Xenopus tropicalis: one gene and its partner. The protein of the gene in region 2 interacts with the protein of the main gene of each other region in a biochemical or structural test. Links are inferred from orthologs where the notes say so. Each region holds a gene or a part of one and is shown on either strand. Other genes may lie near its edges.

What was found.
Region 1: the proteins of atr (region 2) and atrip form a complex in vitro, tested with the Homo sapiens proteins (4 studies listed by BioGRID and IntAct, with this or other methods). The link is inferred for Xenopus tropicalis from reciprocal best matches to the Homo sapiens genes ATR and ATRIP.

Annotation. Positions count from the first base shown.
Region 1 is NC_030680.2:123,905,907-123,910,002, reverse strand, and holds the start of atrip (ATR-interacting protein), read left to right. Parts: upstream 1-1,296; 5' UTR 1,297-1,444; intron 1,445-1,471; exon of another isoform or gene 1,472-1,496; intron 1,497-1,507; exon of another isoform or gene 1,508-1,532; intron 1,533-3,271; 5' UTR 3,272-3,290; coding exon of another isoform or gene 3,291-3,470; coding exon 3,471-3,660; intron 3,661-4,096. UniProt on the Homo sapiens protein: Required for checkpoint signaling after DNA damage. Required for ATR expression, possibly by stabilizing the protein.
Region 2 is NC_030681.2:119,633,067-119,636,566, forward strand, and holds part of atr (serine/threonine-protein kinase ATR), read right to left. Parts: intron 2,631-3,500; coding exon 2,537-2,630; intron 2,444-2,536; coding exon 2,318-2,443; intron 1,754-2,317; coding exon 1,544-1,753; intron 1,380-1,543; coding exon 1,266-1,379; intron 998-1,265; coding exon 882-997; intron 328-881; coding exon 207-327; intron 1-206. UniProt on the Homo sapiens protein: Serine/threonine protein kinase which activates checkpoint signaling upon genotoxic stresses such as ionizing radiation (IR), ultraviolet light (UV), or DNA replication stalling, thereby acting as a DNA damage sensor.

The DNA of each region.
Region 1 (4,096 bases), on a different chromosome or scaffold from region 2:
CCTGTGCTATAAACGCATCAAAGGACCGACATGGATGCTCCCATGGCTCGTTGCCTAGGGGGTTGTGGGCCCATCTGACTCACTGCATGCTGGCAAAAGCCACTAGTGCAGCGAGGAAGCCCTTTAATGCGAAGCATGACACAAGCATTTTTCTGCCAGTATGTAGTACCCACGTGCTAGGCAGGTAAAGGGTTAAAACATTGTACCCACAATAAAACACATACCTTGGAGGCACACACAGACTGACCCAACCTATCCCCCATTCCTGAGATACGAAAGGTCTATCGCCCCCCCCTGCCCTAACCTGACCCCCAAAGACAGAAGCATACCTGGGGGTGACACATGCTGCCTCACTTTCCCACAGTCAGGTATACAAACACTGCAAGGCATACACACAACTATGAATCATAAATAATGCTTTACTTACACACCTCCAACCCCCCTCCATCCATAACTAAAGACCTCACCTGCTGCCTATACCCACTCAGATAGATATGTCAGTTTCCCTACATATTGCTCTAGAGCAGGTGTGGCCAAAACGTTGATCGCGGTCCACCAGTCGATCCCCCGTGGATTTCTGGAGGGCCGCGTCTAAGCCGGGAAATGCGGAAGTGCAGCGCGTTTATTGGGTATGCGCACGCCGTGTTGCATACATACGTACATACGTGGGGAGGAGCAAAGTAGATCGCCGGGGGAAAAAGTCTGGGCACCCCTGCTCTAGAGTCAAATGCCCACCAGAACCATAACCCTAGGCAGTCTAATCTCACCACACACTGTGCCTCCCACACTAGGACATCTAAATACTTATGCACCCCCATAATTATCCAACACAGCAAAAACATCAGCACACTCAAACTCTTCCCCATACCTCAACATATGCAGCACATACACCTCACTTAACCTGAAAATATCACAAAAAAAGTCAACACTAAAGTCAACACAAACACACACCTCAAAACTCATCTGCACTCTTAACAAAACACCCCATATATAAGCAGGCTCCAATAACCCCCTTTACACAGACCAGCAAATGTGTAACAGATCCGCAGTCACCACTGAACCGCAAGTGCCCCAGTATAAAGGCAAGATCTGAATAAACTCCTACATCTAATCCTATCCCAACAAAGGGGGCAAACACAAAGTGCTACCCAGCGCAACCCAATACTGTACCACTGAGGCCCGCACTCCCGTACGTACCGATATATATATATATATGTGTGTGTGTGTATATGTGTGTATAGAGCCATTTGAAGAAGGCGCCGAATGTCACGTGTTGGGGGCGTCCCCCTGACGCTCATGTGTTCGTGACGTCACCTGCGCACCATGAGGAACTAGGCACAGCCTGAGAGCGGAGCGGCGCTGGGAAGATTGTCGCTGCTTTCTGTAAGCGCTCGGCATTATAAAGAGGGGGAGCCTGGCAGCCTAAACACGGAGCGCTCAGCAGGTACAGGGGCTCACGTTGCCAGGGTAAAACAAAGCTGGATACTTGAATGCTGGTGGGTTACCTGTGCCTGTCATGCAATCTCAGGCAGGTGGGGAACTGTGTGCCATGAAATGTTAGGGGCAAAGTGTTCCTGTCATGCAATGCGGGGAGGCTGCACTGTACCTGTCATGGAACCCTGGGGGCCCTACCTGGCTTATCATGAAGTGCTGGGGGACACATTGTGCCTGTTGTGAGAAAGCAGCAGGCCCCATTAGCTTCTTATGAAATGCAGTGCCTGTTGCAGTGCCACACTGTGCCTGTTGTGAAGGGCCGGGGGCCACACTGTGCCTGTTGTGAAGGGCTGGGGGCCACACTGTGCCTGTCGTGAAGGGCCGGGGGCCACACTGTGGTGCTACACCTGGTGCTATATTGCTAGTAAAAGTAATGCTTGATGCCAATGTTAGTAATAGGGAGGGATGAAAGATACAAATGTGGGAAGGCTGCTATTTTTCCCTGAAAAGGCAACCTTACTAAATTACAGATAAAAATGAAGATGATGGTGTATCTCTTTGCTCCATGGGACCAGTTCCATGTCCCAGTTTAATGCAACCCCTCCATAACCTTGCATTGTGACGTGATATATTCTGGGATATGATGTCCCTCTGGTTTCTGTAATAAGTGATGCACAGACTTCAGGTACCAGAAATCATAACTTCACAGTGCAGCAAGGGGATGGTGGGGCTGCATGACAATGGGCCTCATGTACAATGTCCCACACAGTGTGCAAAGTGCAAAAAAAAAATGCCCCGAAAGGTAGACTGCGCTTTAATTCAAGTGCTGTCTGTGTAAAGGTCCCCATACACGGGCCGACTATAGCTGCCGATATCGGTCCCTTGGACCGATTCAGCAGCTAATTGGCCTGTGTATGGGCAGAACAGAGCGGCCTGGCCGACCGATATCTGGCCTGAAACTGGCCAGATCTCGATCGGCCAGGTTAGAAAATCCAGTCGGATCGGGGACCGCATCGGCTCATGATGCGGTCCCCGAACCGACTGCCCCATAACCACAAATGTAATCCAATCGTTTGGCCCTGGGGCCAAAGGATTATTTTTTTTTAAAGTTACTTGCTACCCGATATCGCCCACCCGTAGGTGGGGATATCGGGTGAAGATCCACTCGCTTGGCGACATCGCCAAGCGAGCGGATCTTATAGTGTATGGGCACCTTTAGGCAATGATCAAGTAGATAGGTCCCCTGTGCTCAACCTTCAAGACTTTATGCATCTACCGCCAAACAATAGAGCCGCACTCTCTGCTAATATCAATCCAAGAAAGAATGTAGAGGCAAGCACAAAAAAGCACAATAATGCTGCAAAAAGTGCTTTTATTGCTACACCATACACAACATGTTTCAGGCCCCTTCCCCTACACTTCATACAAAAACATGTCAAAATTTTAGGCTCCCCCCAGTGTAATAGATTGCTAATCTAGGTCCTGGAAAAGATACCTAAGCGCCAGAGCTGACTTGTACACTTACCTTTCTACTGGCATCCCAGAGGTCCACTGGATGCCTGGGACCTCTGGGATGCCAGTAGGAAGGTAAGTAAAATGCTGGTGCAGTGCTTAGGGAGGTTTTTCCACAGGCTGGTGCAGTTTTCCTTTTATAGGAGCACCAGCCTAGGAAATAAATTTAGCAATCTATTTCACTGATGGTGCCTAATATCTTGGCACCCCCCAGCAAAATACGCTTTTCCTGTTCTTTAATAAAAATGACTCGCAAAACAAGACTGGTACCGGTTGTGGTTCACATGTTCTCTTCTCTAATATTGCTTTTTTTCTTCAATCACAGGACCTTTTATTGGTGCATTATGTCTGTTAACCCCTTGTTTGCTAATAAGAAAAGGGAAAGCTCCATATTGTACAACACAGCGTGTGCACAAGTCGGCTCCTCTCTCAGTATTCCACAAGGTGCCCAGAGCACCAGCTATGACAGAAGCAGGTATCCTCCTCCAAAGCGTCACAGAGCAGCAAATGTTGACTACAAGGCCATGGACGACCCTTTTGATGACAATGAAGATTTTACAGCTGACGACCTGGAGGAGATTGACATCCTTGCATCACAGGCTTACACGCAGGACACTGGGTCAACAAGTATCCAAAAAACATTTATAAATAACCAGCCAGCATATACATTAAATGCCACAAAGCCACATTCTTTATCACACAGAAGTGAAAAAGGTAAGTCATTTATTGAATTCCAGTAATAGAAATATCTAATCCCTTGTAGTGATTAGTTAATGGGGAACTATAGCAAAAATGAAATTTTAATATAAGCTTCATCTCACAGAAATAAGAAACTTTCTAAATATAATCAGTTAAAACTTCTGACCTGTTTCTGAAATAATCAGGGGACACTTCATTATCCCCTTCTCAGTATCCGTCTCTCTTCATGCAAGAGTCAGAATTTGATTTAAAGGTCTCTCTACATGAAGGATGTATGCCAGAGTCGGTTATTTTAGATTTTGTTTGTGCTGGGGTCAGCTATTTAAGCGTTGGCTCTAATACATCTGCTAGGAATGGGAGCCACCCCCAAGGCTGTATTAGACCTACCTATCAGTCAAAATCTGTCCCCTGACTGCATAAAAAGAGACAGATGATGTTAGTGAAGAGCAAC
Region 2 (3,500 bases):
ACTAACCTGATAGAAAAGGATTTAGAATTATTTCTAAGGGTGACAGATTCCCTATCAGGGTTTAGATGGAACATTAAGGATTCACATGAATTGGAATTCTGCAAAAAATGCTTAGCATTTGGCCTAATCTGGAAGAGATTTCTGGATTCAGTGCATTACTAATAAGGTTGCTTGGAGAAAGGAAGCAGAAAAAACATATACTGTACCTTAGTTATGAGGTAACCTGCCCATGTTGCTGACCAGTCTGCAAAGTTATTGCCTAATTTGCTCAGATAAATGGGCTTTTTCACTCTGGACCAGTTTACAGCCTTTTTGGAACTCTTGTATCTATTACGTACAAGGCAAATAAAAGACCAGTAATGAAACTGTATGATTTGAGACATAAACAAGCAAAACTAGATATGTGCTATATGTTTTATATATATATATATATATATATATATATTTCTGCAGCACACATAACATTTATTGTAAGTCTGCAACCTATGAATGAGTTTCATTTACAAAAATAAAGATAAAGATAGAAAACAGCACAAACTACCACAGAACTATTGTGTACTATCATATAGACACTTGAGTTTAAGTAAACCTGTCACCTCAGAACAATTAGTTTGAATTAGAAGAAATAAGAGAAAAATGTGTGAACCATATTGGCAGCAAAGCAATCCTATCATGAAAACCTTAGGTCCCAGTGATTACTTATACCTGTATCTATTTAATGCACCCTAGGTTATTGCTTGACACTGATGACTGGATGCTTCTGAGATTCACAAAATTATCAACGTACAACTAATGAGAGGATTAAACAGAAGACTGAAGTAAAACACAAATAGTGTCAGGGTTAGTGAGCAGCCCACAGAATAGATTATATTGATTCATACCTGGTGTTAAGATGTGGCTCCAATATTTCTTGAACATGTTCTGGGAATCTCTTCCAGAGCCTACGCCCAGGACAATCAGTCCTTCCTTCTTTGCACTCATAAATAGAGAGAAGCTCCTAAAATTACACATTAAGTTTGTCATATAAATATTTGAAACATACAAGTCCAGTGCACTTGCATATACAGAATTGGGCTTACATGTCACTCTTGAGCCAAAACAATTTATAGTCATAACAGTGGTTCATGTATTTATGTAATTTATAAGGCTTTTGGTGATGTGTTTAACTTTCAGGTATATATTTGAGACAGTGGAGCATCATGGGAACATCGATCTTGATATAAATTGTGCTTATTTTTTTCTGTTCCTTTAAGACTTTTCCTTACCTGTATGGCGTAAGCAGCAGAGTCCTGGGCACGGACATTATCAGCATAGGCAAGAAATGCTCTTGTTAACTCTGTGAGCAGTTCATAGGCAAAATCTGAATCCTCAACTCCTGACTAATAATGGAGAGCAAAAAAAATTAAAGACATCGAAAAAATGGGCTAAACATTTTTCAGTTACACGTATGCCATTCTTCATCAATATAACTAATCAGAGCATATTTACTGTTTTTTTTATTTTGACTATTTTTTTTTCAAAAATGATGAAGCATTATACTTACAACAAAAGTAAAGCCCCTTGTCCCTTGTGTTTCACTGGCTGAGAAATCCAATCGCCCTGGATCTATGGCTCCAAGTTGGCCAAGGCATTCACCACAAAATAGACGGGCTTGTGGATTGGCATCTTGGCAGCCAATTAACAGCACTGTTACCAGCTGTGAGATAACTGGTTCGACAGTTTCACTGTCTGTTGAATACTGCAGCAGTTTAGCCTACAATGATGCAAACAATCACATTAAACACAGTCACATAGTAATAAATTATAAAATATGAGAACCAGAAACCACTGGGAAATGTTTGGTATCTACAAGAGGGTTCTCAAGGTTTTGCTAAGTATAAACATAAATACATGCTTATATAGTATTATTATGAATATGTAGCACCATATAACTGAGGGGATGATGTATGATGCTTGTACATTTGTCAAAGAAACCTCACAGATGGAGCACTGAACTGCGCACAACATATTACAGTTAAAGACTCTCTGCTCCTGAGACCACAGCAGTTACAGGTTCACATACAAACAGTAGCATAACTTGGTTTGCGCTAGGCCCCCCTGCATAAAAACCATCTGAGGGGGGCTTGGGGTGAACTGTCCCCTCCTCCTGGGCTGCTCACAGTGCACGTCCTGGTAGTAAGTGGTCCAGGGACAGGGGATTAAACACAGCAGACCTTGTTGGTCCAGCCCCCCGCGACTGCAGAGTCTCCTGTAGAGATAGTTACACCACTGCATACAGAAAGCACAAAAAGGCTGATGTTCTGCAAAGTCTTTACACCTGGTTCTTGTAGAGTGTCTCTTTCAGACTAGTAAGGGCATGCATGCGAACATCTACATTTTCATGCTGGATGGCTCTTATGGACAGTTGCATGGCCGTCTGCAAATCTGTGCTTTTGGTGGTTTCCTAGAGAGAAAAATAAAAAAACTGGTAACGTATGTTTCTTGGTAATGGGCAATAATATATTGAAGCCAAACGCAGCACAATATGGTGGCTTACTTTCCTGTATTCTTGCAGAACCTTCTGAATTTCTTTCAATTCTGGATGATCAGGTAGAAAATAAATTTCATGAAGGAAATCCTGAACAGCAACCCTGTATAATGCATAAACTATGTCAATATATTTCTCTTCTTTTTTGGAGTGGCCTTAAAGTGATACAAACACTAAAAACTATTCTTCAAGTTACCTATAGGTCTTGTTGATCATTTTTTGTAGATACTTTTGGTTACTTACGGGGATACTGTCACGATTTTTATGGTATATATTTTATTTCTAAATTACACTGTTTACATTTTAAATAATTTACTTTGCAATTTAAATTTGTATTCTTTTAGTTGTAGTATTGTTGTGAAGGTGCCAGCACTAAAGGATAAAGCTACTTTCAGACACGCTATTGTTTCTCCTGCTTAATGTACTTTCAATACGACCGAAGTCACATAATAGCTAAAGAGTATCTCCTGCTTGGGTGCTATTATCATGTCTACCACAAGGTGAAGCTAGTGAGTGCACTTAGCAGTGCAAACGTTTTGTGAATTCATTCTGAACTCTCGAACAAGCTAAAACGGTTGAGGAGAGCGCCTCATACGTATGCAAATAAGTCATAACAGGATTCTGGGAAGAAATTCCTTAAGGCTCCTAGAAAAGACCCATTTACATGGGCTTGTCCCATTTACATGGGTTTATCCTATAGGCTAAAGCTCACCCACTGGGTTTAAAGCAGAAACCAGGATAATAGCTGATCAGATTCCCAACTACAGACCGGTTTCGCCCTTCTTGGGGCTCATCAGTGTAGTGCAGGGTTTTCTGATCAGCTTAGGTAGAGCCAGGAGTGGGGATTCACGAACAAGCTGAAAGGATTGAGGAGACTGCCTCATACGTATGCAAATAAGTCATAACAGGATTCTGGGAAGAAAAGTCCCATTTACATGGGTTTATCCTATAGGCTAAAGCTCACCCACTGGGT